4 linked regions of the Notamacropus eugenii genome follow. The protein of the gene in region 4 interacts with the protein of the main gene of each other region in a biochemical or structural test. Links are inferred from orthologs where the notes say so. Each region holds a gene or a part of one and is shown on either strand. Other genes may lie near its edges.

Evidence for each region.
Region 1: of the proteins of PTPN6 (region 4) and SYK, one has a biochemical effect on the other in vitro, tested with the Homo sapiens proteins (2 studies listed by BioGRID). The link is inferred for Notamacropus eugenii from reciprocal best matches to the Homo sapiens genes PTPN6 and SYK.
Region 2: the proteins of PTPN6 (region 4) and PDGFRB form a complex in vitro, tested with the Homo sapiens proteins (2 studies listed by BioGRID and IntAct, with this or other methods). The link is inferred for Notamacropus eugenii from reciprocal best matches to the Homo sapiens genes PTPN6 and PDGFRB.
Region 3: the proteins of PTPN6 (region 4) and PECAM1 form a complex in vitro, tested with the Homo sapiens proteins (2 studies listed by BioGRID, with this or other methods). The link is inferred for Notamacropus eugenii from reciprocal best matches to the Homo sapiens genes PTPN6 and PECAM1.

Annotation. Positions count from the first base shown.
Region 1 is NC_092872.1:107,506,098-107,513,053, reverse strand, and holds the start of SYK (tyrosine-protein kinase SYK), read right to left. Parts: upstream 3,005-6,956; 5' UTR 2,866-3,004; intron 1-2,865. UniProt on the Homo sapiens protein: Non-receptor tyrosine kinase which mediates signal transduction downstream of a variety of transmembrane receptors including classical immunoreceptors like the B-cell receptor (BCR).
Region 2 is NC_092872.1:377,728,058-377,734,992, forward strand, and holds the start of PDGFRB (platelet-derived growth factor receptor beta), read right to left. Parts: upstream 3,009-6,935; 5' UTR 2,439-3,008; intron 708-2,438; exon of another isoform or gene 585-707; intron 1-584. UniProt on the Homo sapiens protein: Tyrosine-protein kinase that acts as a cell-surface receptor for homodimeric PDGFB and PDGFD and for heterodimers formed by PDGFA and PDGFB, and plays an essential role in the regulation of embryonic development, cell proliferation, survival, differentiation, chemotaxis and migration.
Region 3 is NC_092873.1:327,459,806-327,467,208, forward strand, and holds the start of PECAM1 (platelet endothelial cell adhesion molecule), read right to left. Parts: upstream 3,023-7,403; 5' UTR 2,778-3,022; coding exon 2,744-2,777; intron 2,656-2,743; coding exon 2,629-2,655; intron 1,757-2,628; exon of another isoform or gene 1,667-1,756; intron 1-1,666. UniProt on the Homo sapiens protein: Cell adhesion molecule which is required for leukocyte transendothelial migration (TEM) under most inflammatory conditions.
Region 4 is NC_092874.1:195,341,546-195,349,078, reverse strand, and holds the start of PTPN6 (tyrosine-protein phosphatase non-receptor type 6), read right to left. Parts: upstream 3,007-7,533; 5' UTR 2,984-3,006; coding exon 2,721-2,983; intron 2,563-2,720; coding exon 2,440-2,562; intron 2,192-2,439; coding exon 1,997-2,191; intron 1-1,996. UniProt on the Homo sapiens protein: Tyrosine phosphatase enzyme that plays important roles in controlling immune signaling pathways and fundamental physiological processes such as hematopoiesis.

The sequences.
Region 1 (6,956 bases), on a different chromosome or scaffold from region 4:
CCTGGAAAGACTCACATGAACTGATGCGTAATGAAGTGAACAGAACCAGGATGCACACATTAACAGCAATGTTGTTCAGTGAAGAACGATTGTCAGCAATACAATGATCCAACACAATCCCAAAGGACTTTAGAAGTATACCATCTGCCTGTAGACACTGAACTGATATTGACTCAATAGACTGGAGCATGCTATTTTTCACTTTCTTCTTGTACAAAATGAATAACATGGAAACCTTTTGCATAACTGCACCTGTATAACCTATGTCTGACCGCTTATCACCTGAGAGGAGAGGGAAGAGAGAAAGAATTTGAAACTCAAAACTTTAAATACAAACGTTTTTTTAATAGTGTGTTATAGTGGGACTGATACAGCTCCTGAATCTATCTTGGTAGATACAATCTCAAATATTTTATGTTTTTCTGTAATTATAGTGAATGGAATTCCTCTTTCTAGGTATTCCCCGTGGTTTTGTTGCTAACAGGAAAGAATGATGATGGTTTACATAAATTGATTTCATATCCTTCAAATTTGCTTAATTAATTGTTTTGAGCTTGACTCTTTGGATATTTTTAAAGTAAGTAATCATATTATCTGCAGAAAATAATATCCTTTTCTCTTTATATATGCTTTTTCCCTTAATTTTTCTTTCTCGTTTCGTTGTATAACTAACATTAGGAGGATAATATACAATAATAGTTATGATAATAGGCATCTTTGCTCTGCCTCAATTCTCTTAGCCCTCTAACTTTTCTTTTTTACATCCAGTGTTTGCTCTTTAAATAGATATTATTTACTACATTAAGGAAAAGTTCATTCATTCCTATGCTTTCCAGTGGTTTTAATAGAACCAGGTTCAAGATTTTGTCAAAATCCTTTTCAGTACCTATTTATATAATCATCATCACAATAACTAACATTTATTCAGGGTTTATTATGTGCGAGGCACTGTGCTAAGTGCCTTATAATTATCATCTCATTTAATGCTCACAACATTGCAAAATAAGTATTATTTTTATCTCCATATTACAGATAAGAAAACTGAAGTGGGCAGGGGTTGAGTGATTTGCCCAGGGTCATAGAACTAGCAAGTGCCAGTGGCTGGATTTAAACTCAGGTCTTCTTGACTCCAGATCTGGTCTTCTATCTAGCTGTTTTTGTATTATTAACATGCTATATTTATAGACTTCCTTGTGCTGAGAAAATGTGCATTCCTTGTATAAATCCAATCTAGTCATTGTGAATAATTTTTCTAATATGTAATTGTTGTGTACTTGCTAATATTTTATCTAAAATGTTTCTGTCAATGTTCATTAGATATAGTGTCCTAGAATTTAATCACATTTATATCATAGAAAACAACTCTATGTATGACATTTTCTTATTGCAAATGATAATATGTGTGTAATATTATTCTTTTAAATATTTCATAAAAGTTAATTATAAATTCATTTGGCTCCAAAATTATTGACTATGGAAGTTCATCCACAGTTTCTTCAAGCTCTTTTTCTAATTTTAAATTAACTATATAGACTATTTCTTTGTTTTTAATGTTTATTTTATCATTAGTTTTTCCGATTAAAAGCAGTTGCTATTTTTATCAGTTTGAGTTTCCTTTTTATTAATCTTTCCTTTAGTTTTCAGAGTTTCTAAATTGTTGCTTAGTTGAAGGCTTTGTTCTTTTGATTAGTATGTTCAATTCATTGATTTTTTCTTTTTATTGAAAAAAACATTTAGAGATATAAACTGTCCCCCAAGACCTACTTTAGCTGCATCCCATAAATTTAGGCACATTATCTAATTAAAGAAGGAGTGTTAAAAGACAATATCCTATATTAGTTAACAAAATATTCCTAGTCAGTCCACAATTGGCATTTTTCTTGATATGGTTAAGATAAATGTAAAAATTATAATTAATCATTCATAACCAAAAGAGGAAAAGAGCTTTGCACAGTAGTTCAGAACTTCTACTTTCTTGGATTCTGCCCAAAGCCATTCCCTCTTGTTCTTCAACTTTGGGACTTCAACCATAATGGTTCCCCACCATGTAATTTTAAGGTTAAATGGGGTTTGGGGATCACCCTGTGACAGTGTTTGAGTAGGATCCTTCTCCTACTGTTGAGGTTCTCATCAATCCCTTCCACACTGAGCCCATGATGAGTTTCTCTCCAGTTGCTTTTAAGTAGCCCCTCCTCCCTTCTTTTTTCTTCTTCTTCTTCATCTTTTTCTTCTCCTTCTCCTCCTCCTTCTTCTTTTTCTTCTTCTTCTTCTTCTCCTCCTTCTTTCTCTCTATCTCTGTCTCTGTGCCTCTCTCTTTTTCTCTCTCTCTCTCCCCATCCCTTCCTGTATGGTTCTTTACATACTCATTTCTCCCATTTTCTTTTTGGTATAGAGGAACTGGCAAAAGATATATGTCCACACCACCAGTTGAACAATATTTCATGAGTCATCTTGTATGGAAAAGGAAACTGTTAGATATACAGAGTCAGAATAATGTAACATTCTTACTTAAACTGACAACTAGTTATTCTGTGCAACAAGACTATGAACAAATTAATAATGAATTTGCTGGTCATTTTTCCCTCTTGTGACTCAACACATATGTAAGGTATGATTTATAAACTGGGTTTGTGCATGACAAGAAAAATATTTTTAAACTCCTTGGGGTGGGGGTGGGGTTTGCCTTTAAACACATTTTTTTTTTTTTAGCATTTTGAACATCCTAAATGACAATTATCTATGCTATTAAGATACATGGTTGTGGATGATTCAAAGCCACTTTCCATGAATAATTTCAGTGACCAAGGGAAATTAAATGAGATATCACAATAACAAAATCCAACAAGAACATAACTTTATCCTGACCTTGTCTGGCAAACCACTCCAAACACTTTTGTTTGTCCTTGTCTAGCCAACCAATTGTTAAGTCTGTAGAAGCTCTCTGATCTGTCTGTTCCTTTACACTCATGCTGCTCTCATCTCTTCTCATCTGGACTAGTCTTCTAACTGGTCTTACTGCCACTATTCTATCCTTTCTTTAAACTATGTGTATCAAAGTTACTCTGGTAACCATCATGGCTCCTCCACTATGATGTCACTCTTCTCCTCACAATGGGTAAGAAGCTCCCCACTGACTATGAGAGGAAAAATAAGTTCTCAAGAGGCATTCAAGGCTCTCCAAAATTGGGTTGTAACCTACCTATTCAGCCTTAACTCTTTCCGCTCTTCGTATAGCTTTTATTCCAGCTAAGTTGAACTACTCTCTGTCATGTATTCTTATCCCCCTCATCTCTCATCTTCTTGTACTTTTGCTCCCACTGTCTCCATTGCCAAGATTGGACTCTCTCATCTCCAATCTTCTTTCTAGATTCAGCAGAAATGCACCTTCACCCTTCCTCTTTTATCTTCTCAAGAAGAGGTAGACATTCATTCCATATATGGAAGACAGAGAGTGAATGCAAGGTATGGAAATGCATGGTGGATTACTGGATGTCAGAAGCAGTGGTTCCATTTGACTACTTAACACTGATTAGTTTGTACAGAAGGATATTTACTTTGAAGACATACAAATGCACAAACATTCTCAAACATACACAAGTACTAACTACTGAAGATCATACTCCTCTTTTCAGCATGTTGGTCTCTGGGGAGAGGAGACTCAGATTTAGCACACTCTCTATCTAGCATTAGCATTCAACTCACCAAGTTCATGTTCAAATGAGACATCATTACCTTAAGTCTGATGGTGCAGTGGATTTAGTGCCAGGCCTGGAGTCAGGAAGACTCATCTTCCTGAATTCAAATCTGGCCTCAGACACTTAACTGTGTGACCCCTAGGCAAGTCCCTTGTCCCAGTTTGCCTCAGTTTCCTCATTTGTAAAGTGAGCTAGAGAAGGAAACTGCAAGTCACTCCAGTATCTTAGCCAAGAAAACACCAAATGGGTCACAAAAAATCAGACACAACTGAAACATGTGTGCAATAACAACAATGTCTGGGCTGGTTCCTGAAGGTTTCTCTGTGATCACTCAGGCAGAAAAGCAGGGCTAGCTGCCAATCCTGGCATAGACTCAACTTCTAGAATCCCAGAATTCCAGATGACCTTTCAAAACTCATGAAGTTGCAGCCTCCAAGTTCCTTTTCCTAAAGTGAAGAAACAAATGCTCTCACAAAGAAGGCCCATATTGAAAGGGCCATCTATCAGTTTCAGGTGGGAAAAAACAAAACAAGAAGCCAAGCCAAGAGAAAAAGCTGAGGATATCTAATCCCTTTTGAAGGCATCCCAAACCAGTTCTTTGACTGTAGCCAGTCAAATAGTCTTCTATTTACCAGGTGGTTAGAAGACAGCAGTCAATTACAAAATGTCCACGTGTGCTCTAACCCTCTCCAAGGTGCTTCCATAGCGCATCATCATGATTCTTCCAGAAACAGTCTACCTAAACTCTTCCAAATGGGAAATTGAATTAGAGGCACTCTAGGACTGCTTGTAGCTACTGAGATTATTTACCATTCTATTTGTCTCCTCTATTCACATATCTACACAGATTAAAGTTTTTGTGCTCCTGTGATTTTTCAACGATTTTTATCAATTTAGCCATGAATTTCTCTTTGCAGCATGTGAATTAGAAACTTTTTTTCCTCTTTTGGTTGCAAATGATTAATTCTATTATAATTCTTATATCCACCTTAATTATATCAAGAAATAAATGCCAATTGTTGACTGACTGTGAATATTTTGTTCACTAAGATAGGATATTGTAATAAGAATTAATGATTAAATATGAGGTAGGTTGGTCTCTATTGTTATACTCAGTGTATGAGTTGAGAAAATGAATAAGTATAATAAATAAGGATATCTACTTGCATATTTTAACATATTTATTTACTATGCTGCAAAATGAAATAAGAAACCATTATCTAAATAAATAGCATTTCACAAGTCCTTTGACAATACCACAGATCTAAGCTAGAAAAATATACTATTAGGCTAATGGGCAGAGTGCTATGTCAGAAATTCAACCAAAGTTATTTCTAAACAGGATGCTTATCATAAACTCAGTCCTGATCAGAAGTCTAACTGTTCTTCAATCAAAAGAGCAGTTACCACTATTAGACACCAGATAGCAAAGCAAAGAAGATAAAAACATATTCACTCTTCCCCAACTACAATTTGCAAGTTAGAGCCCTAGAGAAGAGATGCAAAACTCACATAGCAGAAATTTCTTTTCAAGAAACAAGTGGCAGTCTTCCTAAACATCAGGAGTTAATTTAGGTCATTTCACTGAAAGGTACAAAGGACCAGTGTAATTACATCTATTAGCCCATCCCTTTTCTACGCAGACACTCATTTCTCTTAAACAGTTCCTGGTCATGTTGTCCTGCACTGGGTCCTACAAATCACATTCGTCCTCTCAATGAAATGCAAGATCTTGCTGCTGTCCCCAGTCTCCATGTTTAGCAGCCGGGTACTTTGAGTTTTCCCCCACTACTGACCATGATGAACACTATTGACTATATCAAGAAATCAAACTCAACGTCCAGAATTAATTTGAATAGGGTTAAACACAATCAAATCAACAATCTTTAAATATACCTCGTTGAGGACTCCATTTCTGTAGGCCTTTCTGTTGTAAGCAATATAAAGTGTAAATAAATATATTCTAAAAAACTTATATGTGGATTAAATAGGAAAAACCAAGTAGAATTTAATCTTCTGTTAGAGAATTAGATAAAGAGCTGGCCTCAGAGTCAACATGACCTGAATTCAAATTCAGCTCTGATTAATACTGACTGTGTGATCCTGCCAAGTTACTGCCTTCTCAGTGATTCCAAACAACTCCCTAAAGCTAAAGTTGCAAATCAGGTGCAACTCTACAGTAGTGGGAATAAAAAGTTCCAGTCCAAAACAAATTTTCAGTCATCCAGGAAATATATTATTCTTTGAGGATTTATTCCAAAATGATAAACTACTAAAGTATTTAAAATATGAGGAAATAGTTCAAATATGGAATTAATCTATAAAACGAAAGGATTATACTAAATGATCTCTAAGATTCCATTAATTATAATTTATACATCTGATATTCAAATACAAAATTTTTCTTCCATTATTTTATTGTTATAGCTCAAGTACTTGGCAAAAAATAGGCAGATGGAGGCTGAGGGGTAATGTTTTTATTTTTGTTTCATCTATTATACTTTTTCACCTACTGCATTTTAGCTAAAAGCAGACAATTCAATCGTCTTATAAAGAAATAAATTTTTGTCTAACTGAATTGCTAATTAGCAGGAGAAAATAATTAATAAGAAATTAATACCAGAAATATAACATGACCCAATATAGTTCATTTTCTCAGTCTTGCTAGAAATTCAATTGATAATCAAAATGATCTGAAAAGCAATCCTAAACTAGATGCCCATTATCTTCTTTTTTCAGCTGATGAAGTCAAGTACAGAAAACACAATGAGTCATCATTCTTTCTGCCCACACAACTGTCACCATAGAAACTACTGTAGCAACTTGAACATTTTATCAGACATTATAATTGTTCTGTCCACTTTAAGCAGATCAGAAATCTGCTTAAAGAAAAAAATCCTAGCTGCAGTCTTTCTGGAAACATTTCAAATATATTATAATCATATCTGACATTTAGCTATATGTGTATTATCTTATTATTGATTGTTGTACTTAATGTATATGAATTAACATAATAAGGATGTAGATAAAAATGCCTGCCTACATATTTAGACATATTTAATTATTATCCTATGAAAAGGAGTTGCCCTGGTAGGTATCATTTCCAAAAAGGAGTATGCTTTGTGTATATATAATCCAAACAAGAAAGATTATTTGCTTAAGATTTTAATATTGCTAAAAAGCAAAGGAGAAACAATAACATTTTTTTTACTTTTTTTCAAGAGCAGCGTTTCACTTAAAATCAGTGTTAAGTCAAATGGA
Region 2 (6,935 bases), on a different chromosome or scaffold from region 4:
AATGATGAGATAAGAAATTTGAACTTAGTAGGCAAGAGGAGGCCACAGAAAGAACCTAAAAATACAACAGGTGGTGGTGTTGTTCAGTCCTGTCCAACTCTTTGTGATCCAATTTGGGGTTCTCTTGGTAAAGATAATGGAACAGTTTGCCATTTCCTTCTCTAGCTCATTTTACAGATGAGGAAACTGAGGCAAACAGGATAAAGTGACTTGCCCAGGGTCACATGGTTCATAAGTGTCTGAGGCCAGATTTGAACTTAGAAAGAGAAATCTTTCCTGATTTTCACCCTGGTGCTCTAGCCACTGTGCCACTGAGGGTCAGTAGTGAGGAAGTACTATCATATCACCAAGCATCTACATCACATGACACTTTTTTCAAAAAGTTGACGGTGCGGGAGAGGAGAGATGTTAGAAAGTAACTAGAGGGAGTAAAATGGTCACTGGAACACTCTTTTGTTTAAGGTATGGGGAGATCAACACGGAGGCCCATTGGAAAGAGCTCCTGGAGAAGGAGACTGGAGAGGCATGAGAAAAGGGATGATAAGAAGCAAGAGAGAAGAATCAGGAGGGGATGATGTACTCACAAGAGTCCAGCTAGAAGGCCAGCCTTAGCTCAGGCTGAGGCAGGTTGCTGCTGCTGCTGCATTTTAAGGGACAAAGGAAGGTCCTGGGGGGTTCACTTCAGATGGTTTCTATCTCAGTGAAGTAGCAGTTTAGGTCATCTGCTGATAAGTGTGGAGTTGAGGCTGCCATGGGGGACGTTAGGAAAAAGTGAAAGATCTGGAACAGTTACTGTGGGGACGAGCTATTTGATCAGTTCTTAGCTTCCCTAACTGTGCTACTATCTAGCCTACTCTATCTAATCACTCTAAACACATTCCACAAGAGAATGAGAGACCATAGTAAATGTCTCGCTGAAATCCAGGTCTGCTATGTATAGGGTATGGCCTTGTCAAAGCAAATGAGGTTAGTCTGGCATGACTTATTCTTTATGAACCCATGCTGGCTCATAGTAATCACTGCTTTCTTTTCCAAGTACTCACAAAACATCACTTTAATAATGCATTCTGTCAGAAGAGGATGAGGACCTAGGCTGGATAGTGACTGTGGGAGTGAAGAAGAGATAAATTAGAGAAATATTTCTAAAGACTGGACAGGATGAAGCAATGCCCTGGTTTGCACAAACTTATACACCAATTATCCTACAGCTACCTAGAAAAACTATCATTGACTGAGGGGCTGGATCTGTCAGGGTCCTCCTATCACCCTTGACCCCTCTTAGCTTAGGCCCTTCCCTTAGAAAAAGGCAGAGAGGTCTGAGAGATCAATGCTTTCCTTAGGAGGTCTCCTATTGTTCCCTCCCCCTCTGTATCCCCACCCCCCACACTCTGGAGCCCTAGCTCCATTCATAGGCTGCCCAAGCTCAGTTCCTGTCCCCTCCTCTCCTCCCCGCTTACCCCTCCACCCCTAACAGCATAAGGAGAGCTACAACAAACTGACAGTTTCCCATCAGCTGGGGGTTTGGAAGGACATCTTAGGAATCTGGAAAATTTGCAAAGCCCTTTAAATCCCCGGGGCTTCGATGGCCCTAGGGACTGGCCTGAAGCCAAATCCTTTCTGGGAAAACGGCTGCAGACTCATGGCTGAGGCTGAAGGTCTCCCCTCTCCAACCCTGGTCCCCAATCTTCTGTTTGCTGATCCTGATGCCTCATTCCCTATTTTATAGCGCCATCTCACACTCATTCCCTCATTCCCTAGTCCCTTGTCCTAACCGCCAACCCCCCCCATCTGTTCCCCACCTTCCCCCACAACTTTTGTCCTCTATCTCCAGTCTGATCCACTTAAGTACGAACCACTCCACCCCCTTCAGCGCCACTTTTCTCTGAGTCCCCTCCCTTCATGGTTTGTCTCTCCTCATAATCCTTCCTCCCCTCACAACCCCTTGCCCTCAATATCTCCCCACCCTTAGTAGCCTTCATCCTTAAAGTCCCCCTCCCACTCTGCCCATTCTCTGGCCCCTCAAGCCACCCCTACCCCCCCAGGCCCCGCCCCCTAGCTCTGGCAAACAGACCCTCCGCTGTTAAGATACTGAGCCAGGAGAATGGAGCCCAGAAAACCCAGTGGTTTTGTGTGAATGAGGGCTGGAATGGAGGGGGGCGGGGTGCTAGCTCTTGGGGCACAGGGTAGAAAAGGGAGAAAAGAGGGGCCCGTCTGGTGGGCATGATTGCGGAAGGTCCAACTGAGCATGGGGATGGCAAAGGATATTCAACTCTTTTGCAAACTGACATCTCCCAACTCTGCTCTGAGCTTCTCCCATCTGGTTTCGCTAAAAATATTTTCCATTTTCAACTTGACCAAAGTGTGGCTGAGACATGACAAAGGGGCCCTGAAAGTGGGGTGAGGTGGGGGCAGAGAGTGTTGGGGGCCCAGGCACCTACCTTATTGCCTTGGTCTTCTCTTGACTTTGCCTTGTTTGCTGCCTGCTCACAAACAGCCTACTTTTGCGGAGTCCCCAGATGCTGCCCCTTCCTCGTCTGTCTCCAAACTCACCTCCCTTGGCCCCCGTGGATGGAGCTCCAGGAGGCAGGAGTGACTGGAGAACAGGGGGAGCAGTTGGTCCAAGGACCAGCAGCAGGAGGGACAGAGACAGTTCTAGAGCATCCTTATGGGAATCTCCAGACTCAGGAGGGCCTTTCTAGTTTGGTCTTTCTGTATGTTTGCCCCTCTGAGGGATTGAGATCAAGGACAGTTAGAAGGCAAAGGAAGAGGTAAGCCCTCCTGGTCCACTCTCTGCTTACAAAGTTTTCTCTTGGTTTCCCCTTGTCTCTTGGCCTGCTGGGCGAGGAAGATGGATAGCGGCTAGGTTCAGGGTACCCAGGCCTCAGGCAGAGGTGGAAGCAGTAAGAGGCTGAGACAACTCTGAGTGAGAGAGAAAGCTCTGTCTCCTACAACTTGGGGGGAAAGGCCGAAGAGGTCCCTTTGATTGGTCTCTTTGAGTGAGAGAGGGTGTGTGAGAGGGAGGGAGGGAGGGAGGGAGGCAGGCAGGCAGGCAGGGAGCGTGAGAGGGAGGGAGAGAGAGGAGTGTGTGTGTGCGTGTGTCTGTTTTCAATTTGGTCTTTTTCCCCTGAGTTTCTTGTTTTTCTTTCTGTTTTCCCTTCACTCTCTGCCTTCTCCCTCTTTCTCAGGATATGAGGGGATGTTTAGAAATTCCACAGCCCACGCCAGCAGCTGAGTCATTTGTATTAAGAGAGGCCAGCCCATTCTGCCCAGGGTGGTGACTCCCCTCCCCTCTCCTCTCCCCAGACTGGGCAATAGGGTCTGGGGGCTCTGCTGCTGACGGTAAGGTAGGGTCATAGATTGGCAATCTGTCGATCACCTGGCAATCGTGGCAGGGATTGTGCTAGGTAGAGGGATCTCAGGCAGTGCCCGCCTGTGTACCTCTGGGAGAGGGTCCCCAGGAAAGAAGGGAAAACAGGAGATCATGCTTTACAGTGTTGTGGGGTAACCTGTTACTCCCCAATCTTTGGGTCTCATTCTCTCCATCTGCAAAATGAATGGATTGAGCTAAGATGGTTTGGAAGGGTCCTGTCGGCTCGGCCATTCTAAGTTCCATCCAGTTCTCACATTCTCTGCTCTACGTTCCCTTCTAGTTCTGAAATTCTAGGTCCTATATTCTATGATTGTATTCAAGGACAGAGTGTACATGGCAGGAATGGCAGAGAGGGCAAGGCCTTCCTGCCTCCTTTGAAACTGGGGACTCGGGGTATCTCCAGGGAGGGGAGGGGATGGCTGAGGGAAGCAGAGCTGTAGCCTGGCTTCTGGTCATGATCAACCACAGGTTGGTCCAGCACATCTGGAGTCACTTAGCCCCAGCAGTCATTAACCCTTTGCGGCCTCCACTGCTGGTGTGCCCATTGCTTGGACAGTACAACCTGATCTTACTCCCCAACCCCATGAATCTCTAAGCATAAGACTAGTCCTCTGTATGCAGGCACTAGTTGGTCAGACGGTGAGGTGGGAAGTAGTGAGGAAACAGTGAACTATGGCATAGGATTCAGGTCCTTCAGACCTAGGAATTTTGGATGAAAGGAAGAGTTTAGAATTTGAGCCAATTTTGTGGGATGCAAAGTAGGTGACATATCCCGTCAGTCTCAGAGATGTCCGAGAAATCCTCAGAGATGGAGAAGATTCCAAACAAGTGAGAGAGGGGAGCAGACACCTTAATAGCTGGAAGAGAAAGGATGTGATTGTTTTGGTCATAGAAAAGGAAAGAGACAGTGTGGTAAAATGGAAAGAACATTACTAGATATTTAGTCCTGGCCCTGCTCTTAACCTTACTATGTGACCATAGGCGAAGGCTAGCAGCCACCAAGTAGTGCAATGCTTAGAACATTTCCTGGCTTGCAGACAGGAAGACCTGAGTATGAGTCCATATTTAGTAGCTGTGTGACCCAGGTCAAGTCACTTAACCTATCCCTCGCTCAGTTTCTTCATTTACAAAACACATTATTAACAACATTTTCTCCATAGGTTTGTTGTGAGAATCAAATGAGATTATACATTAGATAAATGCTAGCTATTATAAATCATTTCCCTTCTTTGGGTCCCTATTTCCTCATCTCTAAAATGAGGCATTTGAAAATAATGTTATTTCTAAGGCTCCTTCCAGCTCTATCATATGATATGAATGACTACTGATTAGGGATGTTTTTGAAAGGATTTATATTTCAGATGTGTTCTCACTTAAGGGACCTCTGAGATACCTTCAAGTTTTGAGATGATGTGATTTTGTGTCCCAGACAACAGTTTTGGCCACTAAAGCCAGACTTCCAAAAAGTCTAGCACCCCCCTCTGCTGGCTACCTCGATAACTCTCAGGGAGGGAGGGTCCCATGAGATAGTGCTCACTGCCACAAAGACCCCTCCCTATTCCTCTTTCAGTATGGGTTCCACATAGAGACCTTTACAGTCAATGAAGCTCTAGAGGAATGTCCTGCTGCAATGCTCTAAATGCCCAAATAAGATCCAACAGATGAAGCTCTCTTCCTGGTATCAGACTGGGATGTCAGAGATGCTTCCATTCCAGCCATGGGCCAGACATCAACAGGGATTGGCTTCCATGGGAGAAATTTGTGGGAAAAGAAGCAAGAGTAAGACGACTTGGAAGGCATTTTGAAGGGCTATGGGATTGTGAAGAAAGTTTGACTTTACAAGGTGGAAATTTAGAAAGACTTGAAGAGAGGTTGAAGGAAGAGAAGGACTCAGGCAAAGGGAAGAGATGATAGAGTTGAGCTGAAGGTGGAGAAAGTCAAGAAGTCAAAGACAAGCTGAAGAACAAGGAGGAGGAGGAAGAAGGTAATTGGTAGGGCAAGGTTAGTGTTACAACTTGGTTCAGACCAGGAGGGAAGGGGAGAAAGTTTAATGTAGGTGTCAAGGTGCTAACAAGGTTCTAATGAGGTGAGGAGAGAGAGAAGTTTAGAGTTAAAGACCCTCAGAAGACTTTGCTACTGAAGCTCTCTGAAGGAGTTACCAGCAAAAAGACAAATACTGGGGATCGTCACTTCCAGTCAATATGGTGAACAGGGGAACATTTGTAGTGACTTGCATTGAGAGCCATGTCTATATTTCTGTCTCAACCAAATGATTGCTATCTCTGTCCAAGGTCTAGGCTACTTTCACTTCTGGAATACAGGGTAAAAAGGCATAAAGAGTGCCGCTCCACTCTATGGGTCCTCAAAGATAGTACTATCCCTTAAAAAAAATAACAGAAATTGAAATTAAACACACAAAGCAATGTCAAAAGTAAAGGAAATGCAGAACCTAAAGAAACTGGGATGGTAGGAAGTTGGAGCGTAGAAGAAGATCACACAGAAGAGAGAGGGAAGATCCACCAAATATTTGGAATAAATGGATTAGGAAAACATTTCTAAAAAGTGGATAAGACAAAATGAAGCCTGGTTTGCACAAGCTTAAGACTTCTTTAAGACTTACTGGTGCAGCTAGGTGGTTCAGTGTCTAGAGTACCAGGCAAAGAGTAAGGAAACTCTGGGTTCAAAACCAGATTTAGTCATTTACTAGCTGTGTGACCCTGGGGAAGTCACTTAACCATTGTCCACCTCAGTTTCTGCATCTGTGCAATGAAATAATAATAACACCTATCTCCCAGGGTTGTCATAAAAATAAAACAAAATATTTGTAGAAGTCCTTTGCAAATCTTAAAGTGTTCTACGAATACTAGCTAGCTAAATCCTATGAATTTTTTGAGGAAGAGGGAGAGGTCTACCTGAAGAGGAAGCAGCTGCTAGTCCTCCAGGGAATGACAACATGGGAGTGTGTGTATAAAAGCTATCAAATGAAAGATCATCCAGTAAGGGTCAGTGGAAGATGGGACAAAAAGTGGCTGGTGATTCCCTTCATCAGAGTCACCTGTCAACCTAATAACAATAATAGAGAGATCTCCTGTCTTCCTAACACATATATCCAAGACTTGACAGGGACTCTCCCAAAGTTTGCCATTCCACATGCTTACTACCCACTCCTAATAATTCACAAGATTAGAAATTATATCACCATAAGGTACCTAGAAATTATTCCTCAAGATTACAAAATCATGGACAACACTGAAGACCTAAGAGGCACAGGTGAGTTCTTCCTTCCTTCCTCCCTCCCTCCCTCCTTCCCTTCCTTCTTTCCTTCTTCCCTCCATCCCTCCTTTCCTTTTTTCTTCCCTCCCTCCCTCTCTCTCTTTCTTTCTTTCCTTCTCTCTTCATTGCTGCTCACAGAAGGCAAGAACTTTAGCGTTTGGCAGACTGGGGTAGTGAACAACTGGTTAAGAAGGTGGTATTCAAGAATGAGAACTGAATTTCTGTCCAGCCATATAAAATATGAAAATGATTGAGCACCTAACATAGGTTAATAACACCATATTTGTATGCA
Region 3 (7,403 bases), on a different chromosome or scaffold from region 4:
CCCCAGCTGCTTGACCACAGATCGTGTGTGGCCCCTACTTTATCAGTCATCTCACTGACTCATATAAGTCACTGAGATGAAATGAGTGGGGTCCAGTCAAGTGGCTCTCTTCCTCTCCTCATTACCGGGGGAAAGAGGAATTCTCTCCCATTTCCAACTAAGAACAAATGTCTTGCTGATTGTGGACTGCAATCATTATAGAATATCAACTCTGGAAGAAGCTTTAGAGATCACCCAGTCACCTCATTTTACCAAGGAGGAAACTGAGGTCTAGAGAAAAGTAGTTAGCCTAAATGTACATTACTATAGTTATCACTTACTCACTTCAGTCATGTCTGACTTTGTAACTCTTTTTTGGGGGGAGGGAGGGTTCCTGGCAGAGAGACTGGAGTAGTTTGCCAGTTTCTTTTCCAAGTCATTTTACAGATAAGGAAATTGAGGGCAAAGAGGGTTAAATGACTTGCCCAGGGTCATACAGCAAGTGTCTGGGGCCAGATTTGAACTCAGGTCTTCCTGTCTCCAGGCCTGGCTCTCTATCCACTGCACCACCTAGTTGCTCTAAATGTACATTGCTACTTCAATGAAAAACAGACACAGAACCAAGAGCCTGGGAATTTTTGCCAAACTTACCAAGATCATGCAAAATGAAAGAATTTCAATTTTCCAAAAGACTTTCTGCCCTCATCGATTAACAAGCATTTATTGAGCATCTGCTGTGTGTCAGATATTGTGCTAAGGACTGAGGAAGCAAGGATAAGATTGAAACAATCCCTGCCTCTGAGGAGCTTCTATTTTGAAGGAAAGAGGAGAGAGATGGGTGTGTATAAACATATATAAAACACAGATTCAAGGTAACCTTGGTGGGAAAAGCAGCTGGGAGGACAAGGAAAGGCCTTGTGCAGACCAGACTTGAAGGAAACCAGAGATTCTAAGATGAAGAAAGAGAGCTTCTAGACCTGGGGGACAGGTCCCTGAGAAGTGATTAGGTTAGCTCCCATTAGGTTAGTTCCCATTTCATGGATAAAGAAAGTGGATTGTAAAACAGAAGATCTGTGTTGTAATCCCCATGCCACCACTAATTCACTACATAACCTTGAAAAACACACTTCTGTTCTCTGGGGCTTAGTATCCTCATCTGGCAAATAGAGATAATAATGCTTACTTGACTTGCTTTGCAACGTTATCATAAAAATCAAATTTTGGTGAAAGTACTTTGGAAAGTACTAAATGCTCACCCTGAAGAAACATATATATGTATATATGTATATATACGTATATGTATACATATACACATATAATATATATAAAATATATTATATATACATGCGCACACACACACACACACACCTTATTCTCTCTAATCACAAGATTCTGAATTGTTTGGTGTTAGGATCAAACATAAATCCAATCAATTATCTGTGAGGAAGAAAAAATCGCAGCAATGACTACTCACTTAAATTCTGCTGGTATCTAGAAAAAACAACCCTTTGTTGTTTTATATATACATACAGAGAGAGAAAGACAGAACTAGAACTAGAAAAGATGTAAAAGGTCATGAAACTCAATCCCTTCATTTTACAGATGAGGAAACTGAGGCACAGAGAAATGAACTGATTCGCCTACAGTCACATAACTGATAATTGTCTAAGATAGGATTTGAACTCACCAATTTGAACTCACCAGTTCTTCCCAACTCTAACTCCACTGCTATCTCTACTATTCCACACTGCCTCCTCGGAAGACTCTCAAATAATCTGAACTTAAAGGCCAATTTAACAGCCACACATTTCTACCCATTTTTCCAGAGTTTCAGTTTTACTTCCTCCCCGTTCAGCAACTGAACTCTACCCTATATAAAGTTCTTCCTTGTTCCCAGACCTACTTAAATATGCCAAACTCTTTCAAAAGGTTAAAAACAAATCCCTTATTCCACATATATTTTATATCCCAAACCAAATTTCCAAATATATAATTTTCACTTTGTCAATAAATCTTCAAAGATACACACACACACACACACACATATTTATTCTCTCTTATCACAAGATTCTGAATTGTTTGGTGTTGGGATCAAACATAAACCCAAATCAATATTCTGTGAAGAAGGAAAAATCACAGCCAAGACTAATCACTTAAACTCTGCTGGGGTCTAAAAAAATAAAACAACCCTTTGTGTGCTGAATGGGAATGAGATTGGCCATAGAAAGAGAAAAAAAGATTATGAAGTGGCTCACTTTTTCCAAAAATCAAACAGCTGCCCACTTGGAACTTTCATGACATTTCAAACATTATTGTTAAATGCAAGTGTTTTGGACTAAGCAAAAACTTTTTTTACATATGTGCTAATAGGATCATATTTTTATATGTCTTTATTATCTTCCAAAAGAGGAGCTTCTAGTCTTTTATCTTTTCATTAAAAATGTAATCAAACCAGTTTAATTGTAATTTATAAAGTCCCAAAGTAGACAACATAATGTAGAAGAAAGAAAGTTGTCTGACCTCCTTCCCTCATCTGTAAGATGAGAGGGTTAGATCTCCAAACTCTCTTTGGTTCTAAATCTGTAATCCTAGACAAGATCCTAGGCAAGACAGAAAGGGGGGAAAGAGGTAGAAAAATCTACAACTTACAGTTCTCTTGACCTTTCAGTCTTGGACCTAAAAAATAAAAAAAGATCAAGTGTCATTATCTCAGAAGCTTCAAGTCCTATAAAATTTAAGGTATAAAATGAAAATAAAAACTTACAGAACCAAAGCATCCCCAGAAGAACCAGATACATCTTGTCTTGGAGTAATAGTTGCTCAGTCTAGAACCCAGGAATGCTCATTCGCTGAAGGTTAAGTCCGACCAAGGGGCTGGTAGGAAAGGTTGTCTTCAAAAGGGGTAATAGATAAGCAAGCCTTAGTGTGAAAAGTTAAGATTCACTCTTGGAAGGATTTTCCTCTTTGTGAATAGCGAATGGCCAGTGGCACTCACTGGTCAGGTAATAGCTGCCATTACTGGAAACTGAAAACAATGAGCTTCTGGCCGGGTTTGATAGCTACTCAGGAAATGACTGGCCTTTTCCTGAGAGGCTGCTGAACTAATTTTCTTTGTTTAGTTTCTTAAAGTATATTTGAAAACAAGCAGCAGAAATGACATTTGTCTTGGCACACCTGTCAATCTTCCTTCTGGCTCCCCCAGAATGGGGAAGAGTGGGAACTCCCTCATCTTTTAATGAAGGGACCCTCCAATTTCTACCTTCCACCTAGGGAGACTTCTCCCTTGACTCAAGAAAGATATTCAAGACGAAAGATATTTCTTCCCTTTAACTATTCTCATTTTAAAATAGTCGTGAATCTAGATTTTACTGCTAAGCCCATGGTAGGGGGAAAAAAAAAAGCTTTGCTTTGCCAGAATCATGAGAGTTTGCTAATTAATCATAATATCATATTTGTGTAGCTCCACGTGGTTAAAAAGTACTTTACAATCCTGAAAGATTCACTGTTATCACCATTTTACAGAGGATGCGACTGAGGCTAAGGAAGGTGCCCAGGAGTGCCAGGGATAGAACTCAAATTCAAAGCCTTATGACTTTAACTCATTTGTTTCCGAATGGTGTTATAGACAAATTGGTTTTCCCTCCCATTCTATATTCCAGCTCCCCATTCAACCAAAAGAAACAAAAAAGGATTTGTCTTCAATTTTCTAAAGATTAAAGTCCCAGAAGAATTCAAGAAATGCTGGTTTTACGAGGTAATTTTCAGGACCAAGGCATTTGGTAGTAAACAGACATGCTGTGGAACCAAAGTAAATTTCTAAAACATATGTCATTCCTTTACATTCTCAAAGAGAAAAAAAAAACCTTTAGAATTCTATTGGAATATAATCTCTTATTTCAAAAGTAAACTTTGAAGTTTGAAAATAAAAACAGAAAAGATGCTTCCTGGTACAGTGAGGACTGTTTTAAAGTGTTACGGAACTTATCAGCACACAGTAAGGGTAACTTATTCTGATGTCCACAGTCAAGGGAACATAAACACTGCAAAATCTAAGTCTCCCGGTCCATTTCCCTTTTTCTACAGCTTTCTGTGTTTGCCTTTCTCAGCTTATTCAGCTTGATGTTCCTACATCCATTGGTTTTTGTGTATATCTTATTATCTCAGTTTGTCCATGTATGCATGCATGGTGTCTTTTTGTTAGTTTTTTACTGTGTTTCTGTGTCTGTCTGCTTGTCACTCTCCCTGCAATTTGATTGAAGTGCAGAATATGTACAGAAAGGGTGGGATATGTTTTTGTGCTACATAGTGGTTTGTTTGAGCTTTTTTTTTGTGGGAGGTGGGGTGTACAAATGTAATATATACATAGTACCATCTTGGTGTTGTGTCAAGGAGATCAGGACAGTGGAGATTGGCTGCCTGTTGATTCTGGCAGAAATCACACTAGTGTTTCCTTCCTCAATCACCCAGGGATTTGCCCTAACTTAGGGACTAACCGAAGGAGTCTGATGTGACTCATAGATTTATTCTCCCAGACAACAGGATGGTGGGCCACTGGAGAATGCATTAACACAGAAGTGGGTGTGTGCATGTGCATGTGCGTGTGTATGTGCGTGTGCATGTGCGTGTGTGTGTGTTGGGATATTGAGGGGGGGGGGTTCAGTAACTGAGCTGAAGATTGTGTCCTGGGAAAGAGGAAGATGTTTAACTGTAAGATTTGGTGCCAGACTCTAGAATCAGAGCTGGGCACCAGGCATACTGGGAAAGATGCCACCAAAACCCACTCCCCAGACTATAGACCCATAGGAAAGTGATTTTTCTATTTTTCTCCTTTCTTCTCTTCCCCTCTGTCTCTCTTCAGAGCCTTATTTTCTGAAACTTACCTTCGGTTCTTAAGAGTTTGTTTACCTTTCTGTAACACAGACTATGTTGGTCCTCACTGCCTGAAAGTCAGGTATGTTACATTTCACTCTGCCCTTTGGGTTCTCCAGTATCATTAAAGTGATTTGGGGGGTCTAGGTTCTTGTAGCATCAATGCGATACCCACAGCAGCTGCTATGGGTATGTATGTGTATTTCCAGGGTAAATTCTCAAAATATAAACTCTCTTCCTCAAAGATGAAAAAATATTTATTCCAACACCAGAAAGCCAATTCCACCATGGTAACAACAAAGTTTGTACACATTACCAATGAAGGGAATACAGGTATCCCCAAGCCTTCCCTCTCTTAGGCCACCCCACAAACAAGTTCCCCTAGGCAAAATTCCACTCTTTCTCACTCATGCTAGCTGCTCTGCTTCAGCTCTGCCTCACTCTCTCTCAGCTCCACTCATTTGGCAAGCTCCTCCCACAATTGACTCTATGTGACTCAAGCTGTGGGCTGGGCCAAAGCTCAAAGCAGGTCACATGAGCCTACTAACGGGCAGGGAAGATCTTCAAATTCCCTTAACTTTACAGTTCTCTGCCATTGGCTCCAGCCCCCAGTAATTGTCTTCCTCCCCCAAGTATAGAGGACTATGCTCCTGTACCCCATTTCTATCAGTCACAAACAGTCAGACTGGAAATTAGAAATATTTACTTCAAAAAATGTAAGCACAAGCACACTCCCAATAAGTGGAGACAGGACGCCCTCTCTGTCTCTGGAGAGGGAAAGAGGATTAGGTTCATAGTTTAGCCTGGTTCCCATAGTACACAGTTCCGGTTCCAAGTTCAAAACCCCCTCATGGGCTCTAGTTGAAGGCATCCTGATTTCTCAGGACTTTCATGCCATTCTGACTGGTTGCACCACCCCACCTGCAATCCTAGCTCCCAGGCTGAACCATGGCTCAAACTCCCAGACCCATTGACATCACTTCTAGCACCTGTAACTGAAGATGGCAAACAGCACAGGACAGTAACAAACACCCCCTAGACCTATTTCTCAGAAGTGAGAGTAAAAGCGAGGGAGGAAGGGAAGTACATTTCTTCCCCTTTCACTGGTTCACTTCATGGCATCCAAGCTGGGCACGTCAGAAAACTTGGTGGAGAAGAGAGTAGTCAAAAAGAACAAGTTTTAATCTTGCCAGTTTTAAAGACGTAGGCAGCCAATCAAAGTAGACTCTCCCCATCCATGTGGTAGGGGTCATAGCTGACTCCATATTAGGTAAATCTGGCATGCTCAAAAAAGCATGTTCAAGACGGGTGTCTCCGTGTTAGAACTAGGCATGTCCATCGAAGCGCAGGTTGCATTTCTGTTTGTGTTGTCTTTTCAATATAATAATATAAAGATCATAAATACAAAGAGGGTGGGATTCCTAGGACCAGCCCTAATATGCATGTTAAGGATAGGGGAAGGTGTGATGACATACATGCAGACATCAATGAAGAAGATGAAAAGAAAAAGTTGAAAATCAGAGAAAGAGAGACAGAGATAGAGATAGAGCAACACAGAAGTAATCGTTTGTATAGATAAAACATGTGTGGCTATGCACAAACATATTGGAAAGGGGCCGTAAGGGAGCACTTGGGATGGCAATTTACAGCTGTGGTGTACTGCCAGAGCATTTCCCTGACTGGAGACTCAGAGCTGAAGATTAATTGTTTATAACTTTTCAAGGTAGAGGAAATTCTTTTATGGGTGCTCTGTGTGTGTGTGTGTGTGTGTGTGTGTGTGTGTGTGTGTGTGTGCATGTGTGTCTGTCTCTCTGTCTCTTTCCTTCTATCTCTCTGTCTCTTTCTCTGTCTCTTTGTAGTATTAGCAGTCTTGGGGGCAGGGTGAAGACAGGATACTGGTTCTGTATCTAGCCTGACTGATATAGAAGTCATGGGCATTCATTCATTAATTTGTTCCTTCCTTTCTCTTTCTTTCTTTCTCACTTCCTTTCTTTCAAATTCTTTTTTATTTGTTTATTTTTGCCCCAGGACTTGTTTTGATAGGAAACTCCCTCCCAGACAGATGGGCCCAAGAGAGTAGGTAAGAAAGTCAAGTCCGTGGGGATGAGTAGCTCTACCCCGGGGAGGGGGAGTACTGTAAGGGACTTGTCACAATAGTGTAGATAAGTAGAAATGAGATACTGAACTAGAGTGGTGACTAAAGAGGAGACAGGAGGAAATATTGCAGAAGACAAGTCATCAGGATTTGGCAAATGATTGGATGTAGAGAGACAATAGTAAAGCATTATTCTGAAGAATGACAAACATAAGGAATTCAGAAAAATATAGGAAGACTTGAAGTAATTAAGAGAGAGATAAGCAGAGCCAAGGGAACAATAGATATGATGACTATAATAACACAAATTTAAGAAAAAAACTAAGAGGAAACTGAACCATGCACAATTACAATGACCAGTCTTGGTACCACATAAAAGATGATGAGACACCCTTCCTTTTAGTAAAGAGGTGAGGTACTTTGGGCATGCGATGTCAAAACTGATCAGTGTAGTCACTGC
Region 4 (7,533 bases):
AGCAGAACTGGAACCTTTCCCCAACATCCCCCCAACTCTCCCCCCTCCCAACCTGTTCCCTAGAGGAAACAGTTAACCCCAGGGCTGCCCAGCCCCACAGGAAAACACGTGATGGAAAAAGCAAAAAAGCTCCCTTTGGGGAGAGAGTGAGAAGTGAGGTTTCTTCAGCCTGGGGGTTGAGGGGGGGTAGAGATTTTCCAACCGCAGGGATGATGAGGTAGGAGGGGGAGGGTAGGACAGACAGTAAGAAAAAGAACTTAATTTTTTCAATGCTTGTGCAGAGAAGGCCAAGGCTTCAGTGACCACTGACCTAAGGACCCAAAGGTTTTCTTTCCAGTCTCCAGCACCTAACCCTACTATTAAGCCAAGAGAACTCTACTCCAGAAGTAGGCCTGGTCCTCCAGACTGAAAAGGAAGGGGCTCTAAAGTCTGGTCCCCAACCTCCAACAACCAGAGGAGGAAAGTCCATGCAAATACTGACTTGCCCACAGGCTAGTAATCAAGTACAGAGGGAACAGATGCAAATTCCCCAGGGAAACTACTTCGAAGAGAAAGGAAAGGGAAAGGGAAGGATAACAAGGAAGGTTTGTTGGGGTGAATTTCTTTTTCTACACAGAGAGTACAGAGTACTCCTCGGGACAATTCAGACATACCCGTTGGGGAAATGGGGAGGGCGTGACCAACCACTCACAATCATCTCTTAGAAGGTCTCCCTTGGTTTGGTCTTTATTAAAAACCAGTGCCTTCACTATCCCCCAATCCATGGCTCTACTGGTTTTTTTTAATTCCCTTTCTTGCATCCTTTGACCCCAGTCAATCTGCCACTATCATTCCCATGACTGACTCAAACTCTTCTCTCTATAGTCCCTCCATATCACCCACTGCTTCTGGCCTTCATGACTCCCTCAGCCCCTGTGTCCTGAGTAGATCTTAGATTGGGATGGGAAGAAGGACTGAAGGAACATGGTAGGTGAAGCAGCAGAGAGGGGACACCATGGAATTACCAAGGAAGGAGGAGAAAGTTGAGGTTGGGTACTAAGTCTGAAACTTCCTAAAAAGTAGTGAGAATAGCTATATGCATTCTCTAGGACTGTTCTTAACCCTATCATGGTCAATATTTTAAATCAGTGACTTGGAATAGTGGCTTAGCTTATCAACTTAGCTAGTTGATAAAAATATATGATAATATATAATATCATAAGAACTGACATGAACAGTTAGTATGAACAGGATTCAATATGCACTGACCAACTAGGTGCACAAGAACAGGACAGGCCAACATGGTTTAGCAGAAGTTAATGTGAAAAGAACTGAAAAGATATTTCAGTTGATTGCACACTTAGTGTCAGAATCATGAAATCTTAGTTTTGGAAAGGATATGAGAGGTTTTCTAGTCCAACCAATAACTAAACACAAATGCTTTCTACAATATACCCAACAAATGGTCATCTGGTCTTCCTCAAAGACTTCCAGTGACCAAAACACTGTTTTTGAAAATCTAATGCAAAATTAACAGAAGTACAGTGTTCAGACTGAGGGAGGAGGTAGTTCCTCTGGTCAGGCCACATCTGGCACTCAGCTCTAGGAGCCACATTTCATAAGGGGCAATGATAAAAATGGTCTGCAAACCATGTCGGATGACTAAAGACTAATGTAACTGGGGATATTTAGGCCAGAGAACAGAAGGCTAAAGGAGAAGATGCTGTCATGTGGGAAAAAAAATAAATGTATTTCATGTAGATTCAGATCACAGAAAGAACAGTAATAGATGGAAACTACAAGGTGGATTTTGGCCCAAAAGAAAAAGAACTTTCTAGAAAGAACCAGAGCTGTCCATCAATGGAATGCCTTCATCTGTTGTAGAAGGGATTCTTGCATTCCTGATGTTACTATTACGCTCACCTCTCCTTAGGTTGAAGACCCTTATTAAGAGTCCAGGGTCAAGGCTAACCTCCCCTCTGAGTGGGGTTAAGGAGTTGGGGGAGGGTTGCCTCACCTCTCGCTGGTGGGGTCAGAGCAGTTGAGTGGGTATTTGAGGTGGATAATGGTGCCATCACGGTCCTGTAGGACGCCTTGCTGTTGAGTGTAATATTCCACCAGTTCTGTCAATGTAGCAAACTTCTCTCCTCCATAGAGATCATAGAAATCCCCTGAATTCTGGATGCGGATGTGGGTCACTTGGTCTCCTACCCTGTGGGACACAAACTAGGAATAGTGAAAATGGGAGCAGAAAAGGAAAGGGGAAAAGAAGGCACAAGGCTAGAACAAAACCAGAGGGTTCAGGCAGGGAGCAGGGAGCAGTGTGGAGGTCTGAGGCTTTGATTCATGGGAGCGCTAAGGGTCATCACACAGGACTGGGGAGGTAGTCTGGAGGAGACAAAGCCAAGGAATGAAGGGCACAGGCAGAGTCACCAGAGAAAAAGGAAGAAAGTCACCAACCTGACTGAGAGGGAAAAGTCCCCTTGGTTCTTTCGACTGGGCCGGGCCAAGAAACTCCCATGGACCCCACGGCCCTTCAGCAGAGTCTCAGCATCCAGCCCGCTGAGATCTCGGTGAAACCACCTGTGGAAGAGAAGCTGCAGCTGGGGACTAGGGCCACCAGAGGCCAGGACAGGTGCTGTCCAGAGCCCAAGACTCAGTCTCCCTTTTCTAGATACAAGAGAGCACCTGCTCCCCTGAACCAGCTCCTCCCCCCAGCATCCTGCACCCTCGGTCCTTACCTCACCATCCTGGGAAGTCTTCCTGCAGGGTAGGCTGACGAGTGAGGAGGGAGGACAGTATAAACAGGGCCCAGGACAGAGCCCAGTCCCTCCTTGCACTGGCCCCTAGCTCCCAGAAGCACCACCAGTCCAGGGCAGCTGAGGGGGGGAGGCGGGGACAGGAAGGGGCGAGGCCAGACCCCCCAGGGGGAACTTGCTTCTACTTCTGCTTTTGTAGACAAGCTGAGAAAGCAGAGCCTTATGGTGGTGGTGCTGGGACCCATCTCACAGGAGCGTATAATTTCTTAACACACGAAGCATGTCGTGCGCATATATACACATGTGTGTGACAGCAACAGAAACATAAAGACAGACTTATGCGCATACCTGGTCACAAAGATCACACACACACACACACACACACACACACACACACACACACACACACACACACAAAACCTCCCACGCAGGAGCATGCTCATATGTAGAGAAGATGAATTCATCTATGACTTCTAACACTTTTCTCCTCCCCTCCTGACAAATTCTCCTCCATCTTAATTGCTTCTATGGGGTGAACCCGGTCCCAGCCCAAGCTTGGAAAAAGAAAGAGAGTCCACTGGATAAAAGGTCATGCCAGAAGGTAACCTAGGCTCCAACTCCCTAGGGAACAGAGAAGCAGGGGCGTGATAGAGCAGGGGAGAGAAGAGGATATCCCGGGGCAGGGCCTGAGAATAGTGTTTGACAAGGAGAAAAGCACCAAAGAATGGAAGGAGAAAAAGTGGAGAGGATGACCCCTGGTAGTCTTTGGGGTAGAGCGCTGGTGTGCTCCTCACCTATAGGCCAGGCTAGAAGACTCCAAGAGAAGGGAAGCTTTGGAACAGAGGGCCAGGTAAGTCACAGAACCCTAGAACCCTGCCTTCCCTGTCTCCAGTTTCTGGGCCACCTGCCTCCAGTCTGCCAGGGGGTGGGGGGGCCTAATTGTTTCTCCAGCCTTCTAGCTTGGCATCCTCTCCCTAAAGGGCTCTCTGTGCTGCCAGAGAGAAGATGGTTGGAAGCCCAAGAACCTCTACAGGAGAAGAACAAAGTTTGGGGGCTCCCAAAGGTTAACAGTCATTTTAATTACTTATTTTAATTTCTGCCAGTCATTCTTCCCAAAGCAACCCAGTGAAATAGAGCTCTAGCTTTGGAACCAAGAAATCTGGGTTCAAATTCTAGCTTTTACCGCCAACTTCTTTCTTTCCTTCCTTCCTTCCTTCCTTCCCTACCTTAGGCAAGGCTACTTACTGTTACTTACTGGGACTTGCCTCTCTGGGACTCACTCTCCTTACCTACAAGATGAAGGAGCTGGATGAGTGATATGATATATAATCCTCACATCCAGACTAGGTTCTCCCTCCTCACCCTGGCCCCCTGTCCTGGAACTCTTAGGACTATGGGAAGGATATGGCCAATCACCAAATGGTTAGGAAAACATAATTCCCACCACTATCAAGGGGACTCCAGTCTGGGAGAGAAATTGACCCAGAGCATCTCAGGTTACAGGGAGACAGGCAGGCCAAGGAGATTGGGACAGGACACCAAAGGCTCTCCATTGCTTAAGGACAGAAAGGGAAGGAAAGGGAAGGGAAGTGTTGACTTTGAAGGACTAGGTTCTTCCTGGTGAGAAAAGAGGCAGGCTGGGAGCACACACAGAAATTCACATACAATACTCAGATATCTACACCAATATCCCCATCCCCATTGCCAAACATTTGTGGAGCACCTGCTACTATATATAGACCTGAACTACCTCCTGATGCTAACAACTTCCCAGTCAATAAGCATGTGTTAAGTGCTTATTGTGTAGTGCTAAGGCCCAGATACAAAGAAAGGCAAAATGACTGTCTTCATGGAGTTCACATTCTGGACAACATGGAAACCCAGCATGTACATTCAAGGCAGATGTCAGGTAACCTCAGAGGGAAAGAGGCCAATAGCTGAGGAGCCTGCAAAGGCCTTTGGTAAAAGGTGGGACATAAAAAAAAAAAAAGTGGGATATAAGCAGAGACCTAAAGTAAGCCAGGGAATAAAAGGTAGAAGTAAAGTAGGAGAGCTTTCTAGGCAGGTTGACAATAGGGGCAAAGACAAACCAAAAAAAGAGAGTTCAAGAAAAAACAAAGAGTTCACAGAGTTAGTAAAAAGCGTTAAGAAGGTAGAAAGGCAACCAGTTATAAAGAATTCTAAAGGCTGAAAGGGAGGATTTTATTTATACTTGATCCTGGAGGTAATAGGGAGCCACTGGAGTTTATTGACTGAGGGTGGGAGGTGGGGATGATATGATAAGATGTGAACTTTAGGGAAATCACTTTGGGAGGATGGTTTGGAGTGGGACTTGAAGCAGGAAGACCTATTAGAATTCCATTGTAAAGAGTCCAGGCAAATTCTGGAAAGCAATCTGGAACTCTGCCCAAAAGTTACTAACTGTACGCACCTTTTGACCCAGAGCTAATACTATAAGACTTATGTCCAAATGAGCAGGACCAAGAGAACATTACATACAGCAACAGCAGTATTGTTTTAAGAATGACTGAGCAAATCAGTCATTCTATCATTATAAATACTCATATTAACTATAAAGGATGAAGGAAGACATAGTCCACATCCAGAGAAAGAACTGAACGTTGTTTGTACTTCATTCTCGAAGGGGACCATGACATCAAGGAGGTGATGCTATGACTTGAAAGTGAATTAGATTTAAGGGAGGGAGGACTGTTCAAAGTCACCAGCCTCACTTTCTCCTCTGGAACCATCTGGGTCCAAAGGCCAGATATAGATAAGGACAACAGGAGATGGCCCCCAGAAGTATGCATAGAATAATTATATACACACCACACACCACACACACACACACACACACACACACACACACACACACACACATACACACACACACAGAGTGATCATCTCTGGGGGAAGGAGGGAAGAAAAAAGAGGAAAAAAAGAAATTTAGATGATAACTTTGTTGTATATTTAAAAGGTACAGCAAGTTATATATAGTAATTTGCAGTTTCATGCGTAATCATTTTTTTATTATACTATACCATGGAAATATTGGTTTTATTCCATAAATTAAAAATGAAATAAATCTTAAAAAAGAAATCAAAGAGATGTAAAAGTAAAATTATCTATAAAATTTTAAAAATTGCAATTGATTATAGCCTAAAAAAAAAAGGACCCATACGCACAAAAATATTTTTAGCAGTTCTTTTTGTAATAGCAAAGAGCTGAAAATTAAAAGGAACTCATCGATTGGGGAATAGCTTAAACATATTACAGTATATGAATGTAAGAATACTATTTTGCCATGAAAAATAATGAAAGGGATAGACCTGTATGAACCTGGAAAGACATATGAATTGATGCAGAACAAAGTGAGGAAGAATCAGGAGAAAAATATTTATAAAAACAAGACTTTCAAGACAACTTGGAAGGATTTAAGAACACCAACCAACTCAATCACTATCCATGATTCCAGAGAACCAAACATGCTTCTCATCTCCCAACAGAGAGGTGATGGACTCAAAATGAAGAATGAAGCATTTTTTTTTTTTACATGACCAACAAAGGAATTTGTTTTGCTTAACTATGCATATTCATAACAAGGGTTTTCTTTTTCTTTCCCTTTCAATAAAAATAAATGCTTATTAATTGAAAAAAAATACCAACAGTCGAGGCAAGAAGTGATGAGTGCCAAAACTAGGGAGATAACTGTGAGAATGAGGAGAAAGGAATGTAGATAAGAAGTCTTGTAAAGGTAGAAATGACACAATTTGACATATTGGATATTTGGATGATAGGAAGAAGTTGAGAATGACATCAAGGTGTCAAACCTGAGTGATAGAATGGTGATACCTTTCACAGAAATAAGAAAGTTGGGAAAAGGGAAAAACAATTAAGTTGTGTTTCAGACATCTTCTATTTGGGTTGTTAGTTGGAGACGCAGGACTGAAGCACTGTCCAAAAGGCAGTTAGTGAGTGATTCAAGACTGGAGCTCAAGAAAGAGATTAGGGCTAGATAAATAAATCTGGTAATCATCTCTATGGAGATGATAAGTGATGAGAACACAAAGTGAATGGGCCCAGGAAAGAAGATTGGGGAAATACTTTTTATTTATAAAATAAATAAAGGATATTTGTAAAGATCCAACAAAGGAGACTGAGGATTGGTCAGAAAGGTGGGGAGGAGATCCAGGAAAGGGGAGTGTATAAAAAACTAGAGAGAATTGAGAATCCAGGAGGGTGTTTGGCAGTATTAAAGAGGGTAGAGTGGTCAAGAAGGATGAGGATTGAGAAAAGGCCATTAGATTGGGCAGTTAAGCAATCTTTGGTAATGTTGGAGAGAGTAGTTTCACTGAATGATGAGATCTAAAGTGAGATATGCAGAGAGTTTAGAAATGAGTGGAGAAGTGGAGGCTTTGGTTAAGAAGGGGAGGAGAGATATGGGACTATTGCTACCAGGGATGGTCATATCAAGTGAAGATTTTTTTTTTAAGGATAAGGGAGACATGTCCATATTTGAAGACAGTGGTGAATGGCCAGTAAATAGAAAGGGGAACTGTGACGATTAGAAAGATACTGGGGATGATTGTGGGAACAATCTGCTAGAGAAGACCAGAGGGGATGGTGTCAAGGACACATGTAGAGGGTCATCCTTGACGAGAAGGGCTGTCTCTTCATGCTAGTGGTGAAAGAGGAGATAGTGGGGGGAGATGCCTTAGTGATCAGAGATGACGAGGGGATTAGTGAATGGTCTCAATTTTTTTTTTTTGGTGAAATATGAGGTAATATGAAATAT